2 linked regions of the Schizosaccharomyces pombe genome follow. Changing the gene in region 2 together with the main gene of any one other region gives a genetic interaction. Each region holds a gene or a part of one and is shown on either strand. Other genes may lie near its edges.

Region 1 (3,906 bases), on a different chromosome or scaffold from region 2:
AGAAAAAAAATTAAAACAAATTTAGTCCTTTCATTCATTCCCCAGTGCTTTCAGACGCTTTTTATAACAATTCTCCCTTGAGTTTCATTTCTGTTCATAGTCTCATTATTCTTTATTGTGTGTTGACTTCTTTTATTTTTAAACAAAGGTTCATTTTTATTGTCGTTCTCTTTTTTTTTTGAAATTCTGCTACTTTCTCTTGGAATCCCCATCAACGTGTTACCGAATTTGATTCATCATTATTCATACATCTTCCATTTTTGTTGGACATTCGCTGTCTCCAGTTTTTACTTTATCTTCCCATTTTAATAATGTGAGTCTTTACATTCATGGGATTTCCACGTCGATTCTTTTTTATTGCTTAATGGAAACGATTCTGACCGGACATCGTAATTAAATCTCTAACAAAGGCTACCTAATTTATACTTCCTCATCCGTTTACTATTTTTTGCTTTAATATACGTTAAGCAATAGAACAATTTACCATAGCATATTAACAAATCTAATACACTGTCATTCGTTCCCTATTAATCATATTTTTGCTTTGTAATTTATTTTTTTTATTATGGAATTAAAATATAAACGGTATGAAAGTCGTAAAAAGAAAAACACTAAAAATAAACAAAAGTCAAGAGACATGCGTATTTAATAGTACGCATCGATAATCATAAAGAATATGCAACAATGTTTGGATATCGAATTCATACACATAAATGAGGTGTCTCAATCTATGAAGAAGCAGCTATGCCGCGGTGTTGCTTTATAAGCATAAAGCATAGTCGAGAAAAAGACAAAAGACCAAAGGAGTAAACATGAACAAGGGAAATGCATTCGCGATATACGGAAATTTCTACTTGGAAATTTCAAAATAAAAAACAACTGCGCACCAACGATAACAAACACAGGTGCTAGTTCAACCACACAGAAAGTTTTACTTATATAAAGGAAGAAAAAAAGCATAGAAAAAGGAAAGAAACGAACTCGCATTTAAAAAATGGAATTGACGAGATCAGCGCCAGCAGTTGCACCAGCACCGAATACAAATGCAGAACCCAAACCACTACCAATCTTCTTGAATGTTGATGAGTGCTTGTGCTCGGTCGGTTGTGCAACCACGATGGGTTGTTGAGGCGCCTGAGGATAGGCTTGGACAGGTGGATATGGTGCTTGCTGAGGTGGATATGCTGTTTGCTGATACTGCATGGGAGGTGCCGAAGAAGATGCTGCTGGGGGATAGTTTTGCTGTGGTGGAGGAGGAGGAGGTTGAGCTTTAACGGCAGAATCTTCCAACAAACGCACATAGTTAGAAGGGAAGATTCCTTCCTTTCCATTCAATTCACCACGCCACCAATCGTTATTGACATGCTCAAGTACAATGATAACTTCGCCAGCATGGAAACCTAAATCACCAGCATCAGGGCCAGGAAAGTCGTACATCGCCAAAACCCGCTCAACGTTCTTATGGGCAGTATTGGGTCCAGGATAGCTGGGAGGAGGGGGAAGCTTCTCGGTAGATGAATTGACACTTGAAGCCTCGCTTTGCTTCTGTGGGGCAGGCACTCCAGGCAGCTTACGAGGTTCCTCGGGTGTCCTCTTTTCTCCAGAGTTTTGAGACAAAGACATTGCTGCTACGGCAGACGCTACCGATCCTGCTCTTTTTTCCACAGAGCTCTTCCGCTTGGGCAAGGGAAGGGGTACTGAGGACTCAACAGGTTGAGCAGCTGGAGCAGTTACAGGACTAGCGGGACCGTCCTGTAAATGGATATTTGCGTGAACCCAATCCAAAGCACTCCTTTCAACTACGCCCTCATCAACAAGGAATTGGAAGTCGTTGTAGATTCCACGAATAACATGATTCAGGTAGTTTTTATGATCCATATTTCTATGGAAATTTATTACTTAACTCTTTAAGATCTCAAATAAAAATTATTTCAGTTAATTCTTATCAATCTTTAAAAGTTTTGCTGATTAGTGGTAATGGCGGAAGGTAGGTTTACAACTACCGCTTGGTGTGTATACCTGGTAGGTATATATATGGAAAAAACATACGAAGATCGTGGCGCCAAAATTCCAATGCTTTCCACCGGGGCTGAAAAACAATGCAATTTTTTTTAAAAAAATCCTTTTATATAGTAAAATGAGAACTTGTGTGCCATAAGTTTTCGTTAGAATTTTTCAAAAAATTGAATTATGTGAGCAAGTTATTAAGTGGAATTATTTTTAACTTAGAACATTTGAACTGTCAAGTTCAATGTATCAGGAAAAAATATTGAAAATTTGAGAAAGAATTTTTTCCTAGGTATGGCTACAAAATATCGAACAATTTGATGAAATAGGAATTTCTAACCATTTGTTATGTCTCAATTAAATTTCGCCGTATGTAGAGCCTTTGCTTTCAGATATTCGTAAAAACATACAAAAAAGCATGGCACTAGCTGTGTTTTCGTATAAATAAAAAAGGTCCTTAGTATAGTTATCCAGACGATATTTTTCAATTTCAAATCTCACTTCAGGTACCTGAAAACATCCCTAAGTAGAAGTAATATTTTTGTATCCTGACTTGAAATCTGGGCTTTTAAAAAAATGATTTTGGTGCTTTAGAATGCTGTGTGAATTGAATTTTCAATCTCTCAACAAATGCGTCTCAGCGCAGTATAATTGGTTTCCAACGGAAATTTATTATTTGTCAAAAATAAAAATAAATCTCACAAGTTGTGTATATTTGACAATTCCAGCAAAGCCGCATAGACGGTATGCATGGTCTTTATTCTTCCAAAAAAAAATATTCAATAATCACATACTATAATATAGCGATTTGAACAAGCTAAGTAACCGTTTGAGTAATGATTCTTTCATTTATAAGTCATTCTGATCCTTGACGAAATTCATATTTTGTGTCTATTTTCATTCGTATTAAAACTTAGATTACATTGAAATTACAGCATTGGAGAAGCGGCTATATGCATATGAACTCTTTAAAGGATTAGCGATAAAATTACGTTTTTTTTGAACGCTAAAATGTTTGCAGTAATTTTGGTGAAATTCTATTTTCAACGTCTTCATTACCACCCAAATACCCATACTGACGTGAAATTGGACTAACTTGGAGAGGCTTATTCTTTGTGAGAAATTGTTTTCTCCGTTTTGTATTTGAAGAGACAGAAAAGATTTTAAATTTTTTTAAAACTTGCTAGTCTTGGTTATACTTTTGTTACTGTTTTAACTTCAGTTTTTTGTCTTGTCCAAATATTACGATTTTTGAATCGATTGTTGGCAATCACTCAAATCAAGTAATGTTTCGAAGGGGTTTAGTTTTCTCTAGGCATTGTCATTACAGCTTGATTCGTCCTCGATTTCCTTTGAATCGTACGTGCCTAGCGCGTTTTGCCGACGGTCGCAAAAATCTAGCTACTGACAATCGAACGCAGACATACCAATCATGGCGTGGAATGATTTCTATAAGAGCATTGCTTCTTGCAGCTGCAACAAGCGTTGGCCTTTATGCTTATTTCCAACATGAAAAGAAAAAAGTGTTGGAGAGGCAAAACGACAAGGTTTTGGCTACCATAGGTCGTCCCCAATTAGGAGGTGCTTTTTCTTTAATTGATCATCATGGAAATCGAGTTACTGATAACGATTTCAAGGGAAAATTTTCCTTAATCTACTTTGGTTTCACCAGATGCCCCGACATTTGCCCCGACGAGCTCGACAAAATGTCAGCAGCTATTGATATTGTAAACAATGTTGTTGGAGACGTGGTTTATCCTATTTTCATAACCTGTGATCCAGCCCGTGATCCTCCGCAAGAAATGGCTGAATACCTTGAAGATTTCAATCCTAAAATCGTTGGTCTCACAGGATCCTATGAAGAAATAAAAGATATTTGTAAAAAATTCCGAGTCTATT
Region 2 (5,187 bases):
ATGAATTGTTGTACACTGTCATTGCACAAATCACTTGCATACTAGCTGCGCGCATGTCAAAAATATATTTAAAAGATGTTGTCCTAATATTGGATGTTCTCTGAATATCTAATGAATAAAAAAAAAGTTACTTCTTTTTTGTCTTACTTACATTTTCATTGCATCCGTTTTAATGTCATCTTTCTTTCCTAAACTCGACAATACTTTCTTCCATTTCATTTGCTTTATAAAAAAAAGTGTGACATTAAATTACAAAAAAATACATGCAACGATTTCAAAATTGATTCCAATGCCAATGTTCCAAAAAGAGAAACACATATCAGACTGCTATCAACACTGAAATTAATCAACAGTGTGGTCTCTCCATACAGCGGTTGACGGCAGTTTTACGATTAACCGTACAGACATAGAAAACACCTCGACCGGAAGCATCGAGCCAACCCTACCAGCACTGCTCATGTAACCCGCCCAAATTTGTGCAGGGCGTACACCTGGTTTGAATAATTGATACCACCTTCCACGGCCTACCAACTGAGGGTATGCAGCGTCTGCAAATTCCTCAATCGTAACAAACTTTTCTACGGGATTTCTGTTTTCCAATATTAGTTTTCTGTATGGATAGTAAATTGAATTTTCTGGAATAGCGGCTTCTGTCATAGTGCCAAGAGGCTTGCTTTGAATTTTGGTTTGCACACCGCCCGTCATAATACTAGTCACTTGGACTCCAAAGGGGGCCAGTTCTATACGCAGCGTGTTGGAATATGCCAACAAGGCAGCCTTTGAGGCGTTGTATGCTGCATTAAAGGCAAAGGGAACATAAGAGACGAGTGAATTGACGTTCACAATTGTTCCTTTAGCACGTATAAGTTGATGTTGAAACGCCTTGTTCATTCGAATTACCCCATAAAAGTTAACATCCATGACTTTACTGACATCTTCGATATCCAGGTCAATGGCTGGTGCACTACAGGGAGCTCCTGCATTGTTGATTAAATAATGAAGGGAGCCGTTGGTAAACTTGCGCACCTCTTGCTCAACCTCTCGTACCGAATCTTCATCCGTAACGTCGAGTTTTAATGTTTGAAGGCCAGCTTTTGTCAGGTTATCCATACGTTCCACCTGCCTCGCTGTTGCTAAGACTTGAAAACCCTCTTGATGAAACTTCAAGGCCAACGCATTTCCAATGCCTCCTTCACTACACCCTGTAATTAGTACAAACTTCTCAGCTTCCATAATAAATTTCTCTATCAAAATTTCCTACTACTTGGTTAAGAAAGAAACCACTTTTGAAATAGATCTTGCTAGTCGCTACAACTTTCAAGTACGTCACATTTATTAAGCACTCTCACTCTTTCCGCCGTCATGAATAATAAGCTTGAAATTCAAATGTTCCATACAGTTTGTAGGATAGTTTACAAAAAAGAAACAAGAACGAGAATGAATGAAAGAGTTTTGTTGTTGAATGGTGTTTTAATGAAATTTTGGCATTAACTGTGTTTAGAGCTTATAATCAGTGTTTGCGATCATTTTTTTTAAGCTTGCTTTTCATTTATCCTTCTTTTTATTTATTTTTATTTTTCTTTTCATTTACATTGGCTTTTTCTTTTTTTTATTTGTTTTCCAATTATTTACTATTGTTTGGCATTACTAAAAAATGTTTTGCTTACAATATCGCATTAAATTAAATCAAACAAAAACTTGCAGTATGTAAAATCAATAAATAAATATACAAAGGTTTATGCAGTATTTGCATTAATCTATTAAGTTACTTGTAAAGTTTTAATATGTTTCTTTTGTTTTTTGTTTAGATCTAATATTATAGCTTAGTCGTTGAACCAATGATACCATGAGATGGGGTTTATATCAGTTTTGAGTAGAATTTGCAACCTGTCCTCACCCTCTATCGGGTTTTAATAGTGAAAGTAATAACTACTGTTTTTAACAGTTTTTCTTCAGTACTTTTGCGTGAATTCATAAATATTTTAGGACCGGTGAATTTCTCAGCGCAGTGCTTTTATCCGTCTTTACTGTTACTTTCGCTAAGTTATTTAAGACAAATAATTGAGTGTTGTTTCATTTTTTAGTTAGTTCCAAATTTTTGAGGTGGCATACTCCTAAAACTCTCGTTAGTGTAAAACCCGTCATCGACAGTTCGAAAAAGCATCCGAAATTAGACTTTTAGAAATTTTGCTTCGATCCTTTCTTATTCTTTCACTCGTTATCAAATTTTTTTGCTCAATTCATAGTCAGACGACATAATGGATGTTTTAGTACCAATCTATACTGGACCTATCAATCCGGTTTTTCCATCAAGAGCACACCCATCTCCTCCTCTTGGGCTAACAAGTAATTTGTTTCCAATTCAAACAAACAAGTTTTATGGTAACTTGTACATTGGCACCCGTCATAATCCATCATGGTCACATCCTTACTCAGTAACTTGGCTCAATGGTAGCAGCTATTATGGACTTGCGATTTCACATATTGATGATAGCCAACGCGTGTTTGGACCAGACCCAGAATCGGTTCCATGCCAATATTACTTTAATCCTGCTGGACTTTATTCCATAATCATTTCTGCACGAGAATTTGCTTCGGGTAACCTCTTATCCCTTGACCAATCTCGTCATTTCTCTATCCAGGCTACTCTTAGCGCTACAACCTCTGGTTCAGGGACTATAATCCTACCCATTGTTGCTGGCATGGGATTTGTAAGTGGTTATTATACCAATTTGACTCCTGTATTCAATTCCTCCATCCTTTTCTCATCAATTACTAAAATAAATTTCAGTAGGGGCTACAAATATAGAATTCAATTGACAGATGGAAAGATCTGGTTTCTCTACGCATTTCCTACGAGTTCGAGCAGTACCTTCAATTTGACTCTTGCTTCGAATTCTCAACTAACTACTTCTACAAAATTTACCGGTCTCATACAAATATGTAAAGTTCCAAACGAAAGCGTGAATAATTCATATCCGGATACCATCTATGATGCTTCTGCTGGTGTATATACTACGTCTATTTCTCTATCAGCTCAAGTTAGCGGTACCACCGGGGAATATTGGTTTCGTTTCGCTACAGCTGGATATACTAACTTAAATCCGCTAATGTTTGCTCTTCCCCATCATATGCAAAGTTTTGGTTCTGACACTCAAGCGTACAAAACAGGTTTAGGCTTAGCCAGTACAACAATGGGTATAATGTTTGCCTATGCTACTAAAACTTGGCATTTAATCGAAAAAAATCTTCCAACGCAGGTAGGTTTTTTACCAATTCCTTGGAATGGTGGAAGCAATACGTATTCTCCTACTGCTTTAGCCGCGATTCGTGCAGCTTGTGCAACTGATATTAACTTCGATGTCGTAAATGCCAGTAACCTTGACTCAATGTACACGTCTGGAAAAATAGTAGCCATGTATGCTCAAGTTTGTTTGGTAGCTTCTAGAATCCTTGGTGATAGCACTCTCACTAACACTGGATTGACAAAATTGAAGCAAGCCATGGCTAGATTTACTACGAATACGCAAATGTATCCCCTCGTTTATGATACCACATATAAAGGTATCATCAGTACGGCAGGATATAGTTCTCCTTTAGCAGATTATGGTAATACCTACTATAATGACCATCATTTTCACTGGGGTTATCATATTTACGCATGTGCGGTAATTGGTCTATTGGATCCTTCCTGGCTGGTTAATGATAACATTCGCTATGTAAATGCTTTATTAAGAGACAGTGCAAATCCAAGTGAAAGTGACACCTATTTTGCTATGTTTAGAAACTTCGACTGGTTTGTTGGACATTCATGGGCAACAGGTATATTTGAAAGTGGAGACGGTAAAGATGAAGAGTCAACCTCAGAAGACTTCAACTTTCTGTATGCAACGAAATTGTGGGGTATGGTGAGAAATGATACTGTTCTTATCAACCGTGCAAACTTGATGCTCGCCGTCCTAAAGAACAGTTTAAATACCTACATATACATGACACCCACTACTTCAGTACAGCCTTCACAAATTCTCGGCAATTACGTGACAGGAATTACATTCATGAACAAAGTTGATTATGCAACTTACTTTTCAGCTGAAGAATATTGTAAACAAGGCATTCACATGATTCCAACTACGCCTATCAGCGGATACCTTCGTTCTCCATCTTACGTTCAACAAGACTGGAACGCCAAAATTGCTCCGATAATAAATACATTTTCAAACAATTGGACTGGTATTTTATGGTCCAATTATGCAATTTACGATCCAAAAACTGCATACAATACCTTTGCTGCCAGTACCTTTACTGCTGATAAAATTGATAACGGAGCTAGTAAAACCTGGTACTTAGCTATGGCTGCTGGTATGGGTGGATCACCATGATGGCAAGGGAGCTAATGAAAAACTGAAGCATTACTTTTCGTTTCAAAATTATGTAACCATTTCAAAACAACACATAGAGAGAGCTACCTATTAGCTTTTTAAAACACTATCATTTGTTTTAAAGTTTTAATGAAATACTAATACTATGAAATAGAAAACGTAGCTATTAATGCAAAAAAACTGCTTATTCAAGTTGGCTTACTTCGAAGTTTTCCATAAATATTAAAGACAGAAAATTACTTTTTCGCTTCTGCATTGTTTTAAAACATTAACTAGTTCAATGGCTTAAGAAACAAATAAATGAATATTTCTAAAGTATATGATCAAAAAAGCCGTAAATTGTAGAGTTCACTATTCACGACTACTGAACGCCTTAACACTTTCAACGATGCATTAAATTTCTTTATATAGTATTGCTATCCAACACACGAAACTAAGGTTTACGAGACTAATAATTATATAATTCCTGCATCTACTAAAAGGATATTTTATCCATTTAAAACTATACTAAACTATTTACATAGACATGGGTAAGTGCGGTTAATCAACCATAATATGTGTTGAGACGAAGACAATGGCATGAAATGGCTAATGACCATACTTTAGAGGAAATTCCGTCATTGGTAATAGATCCTGGGAGTTGTTGGACAAGATTTGGTTATGCAGGAGAAGAAAGTCCGATGACTATCTTACCTTCATATTACGGTGTTCGATCTGATGTGACTGGTCGAAATAAATATGTTGTTGATGAGTTACAAATTCATGCTCCTATCCCAGGAATGGAAGTCAAAAACGGAAAAAGTAATGG

What was found. Genes that interact genetically often act in the same process or in processes that back each other up.
Region 1: of eng2 (region 2) and lsb1, a mutation in one rescues a mutant of the other (synthetic rescue), as found in Schizosaccharomyces pombe (one study listed by BioGRID).

The regions. Positions count from the first base shown.
Region 1 is NC_003423.3:720,466-724,371, forward strand, and holds lsb1 (SH3 domain-containing protein), read right to left. Parts: upstream 1,990-3,906; 5' UTR 1,879-1,989; coding exon 988-1,878; 3' UTR 542-987; downstream 1-541. Other genes in the region: copper chaperone Sco1, read left to right, coding at 3,294-3,906.
Region 2 is NC_003424.3:4,354,895-4,360,081, reverse strand, and holds eng2 (cell wall and ascospore endo-1,3-beta-glucanase Eng2), read left to right. Parts: upstream 1-1,889; 5' UTR 1,890-2,258; coding exon 2,259-4,379; 3' UTR 4,380-4,672; downstream 4,673-5,187. Other genes in the region: ayr1 (1-acyldihydroxyacetone phosphate reductase), read right to left, coding at 343-1,233; SWI/SNF and RSC complex subunit Arp42, read left to right, coding at 4,906-4,909, 4,986-5,187.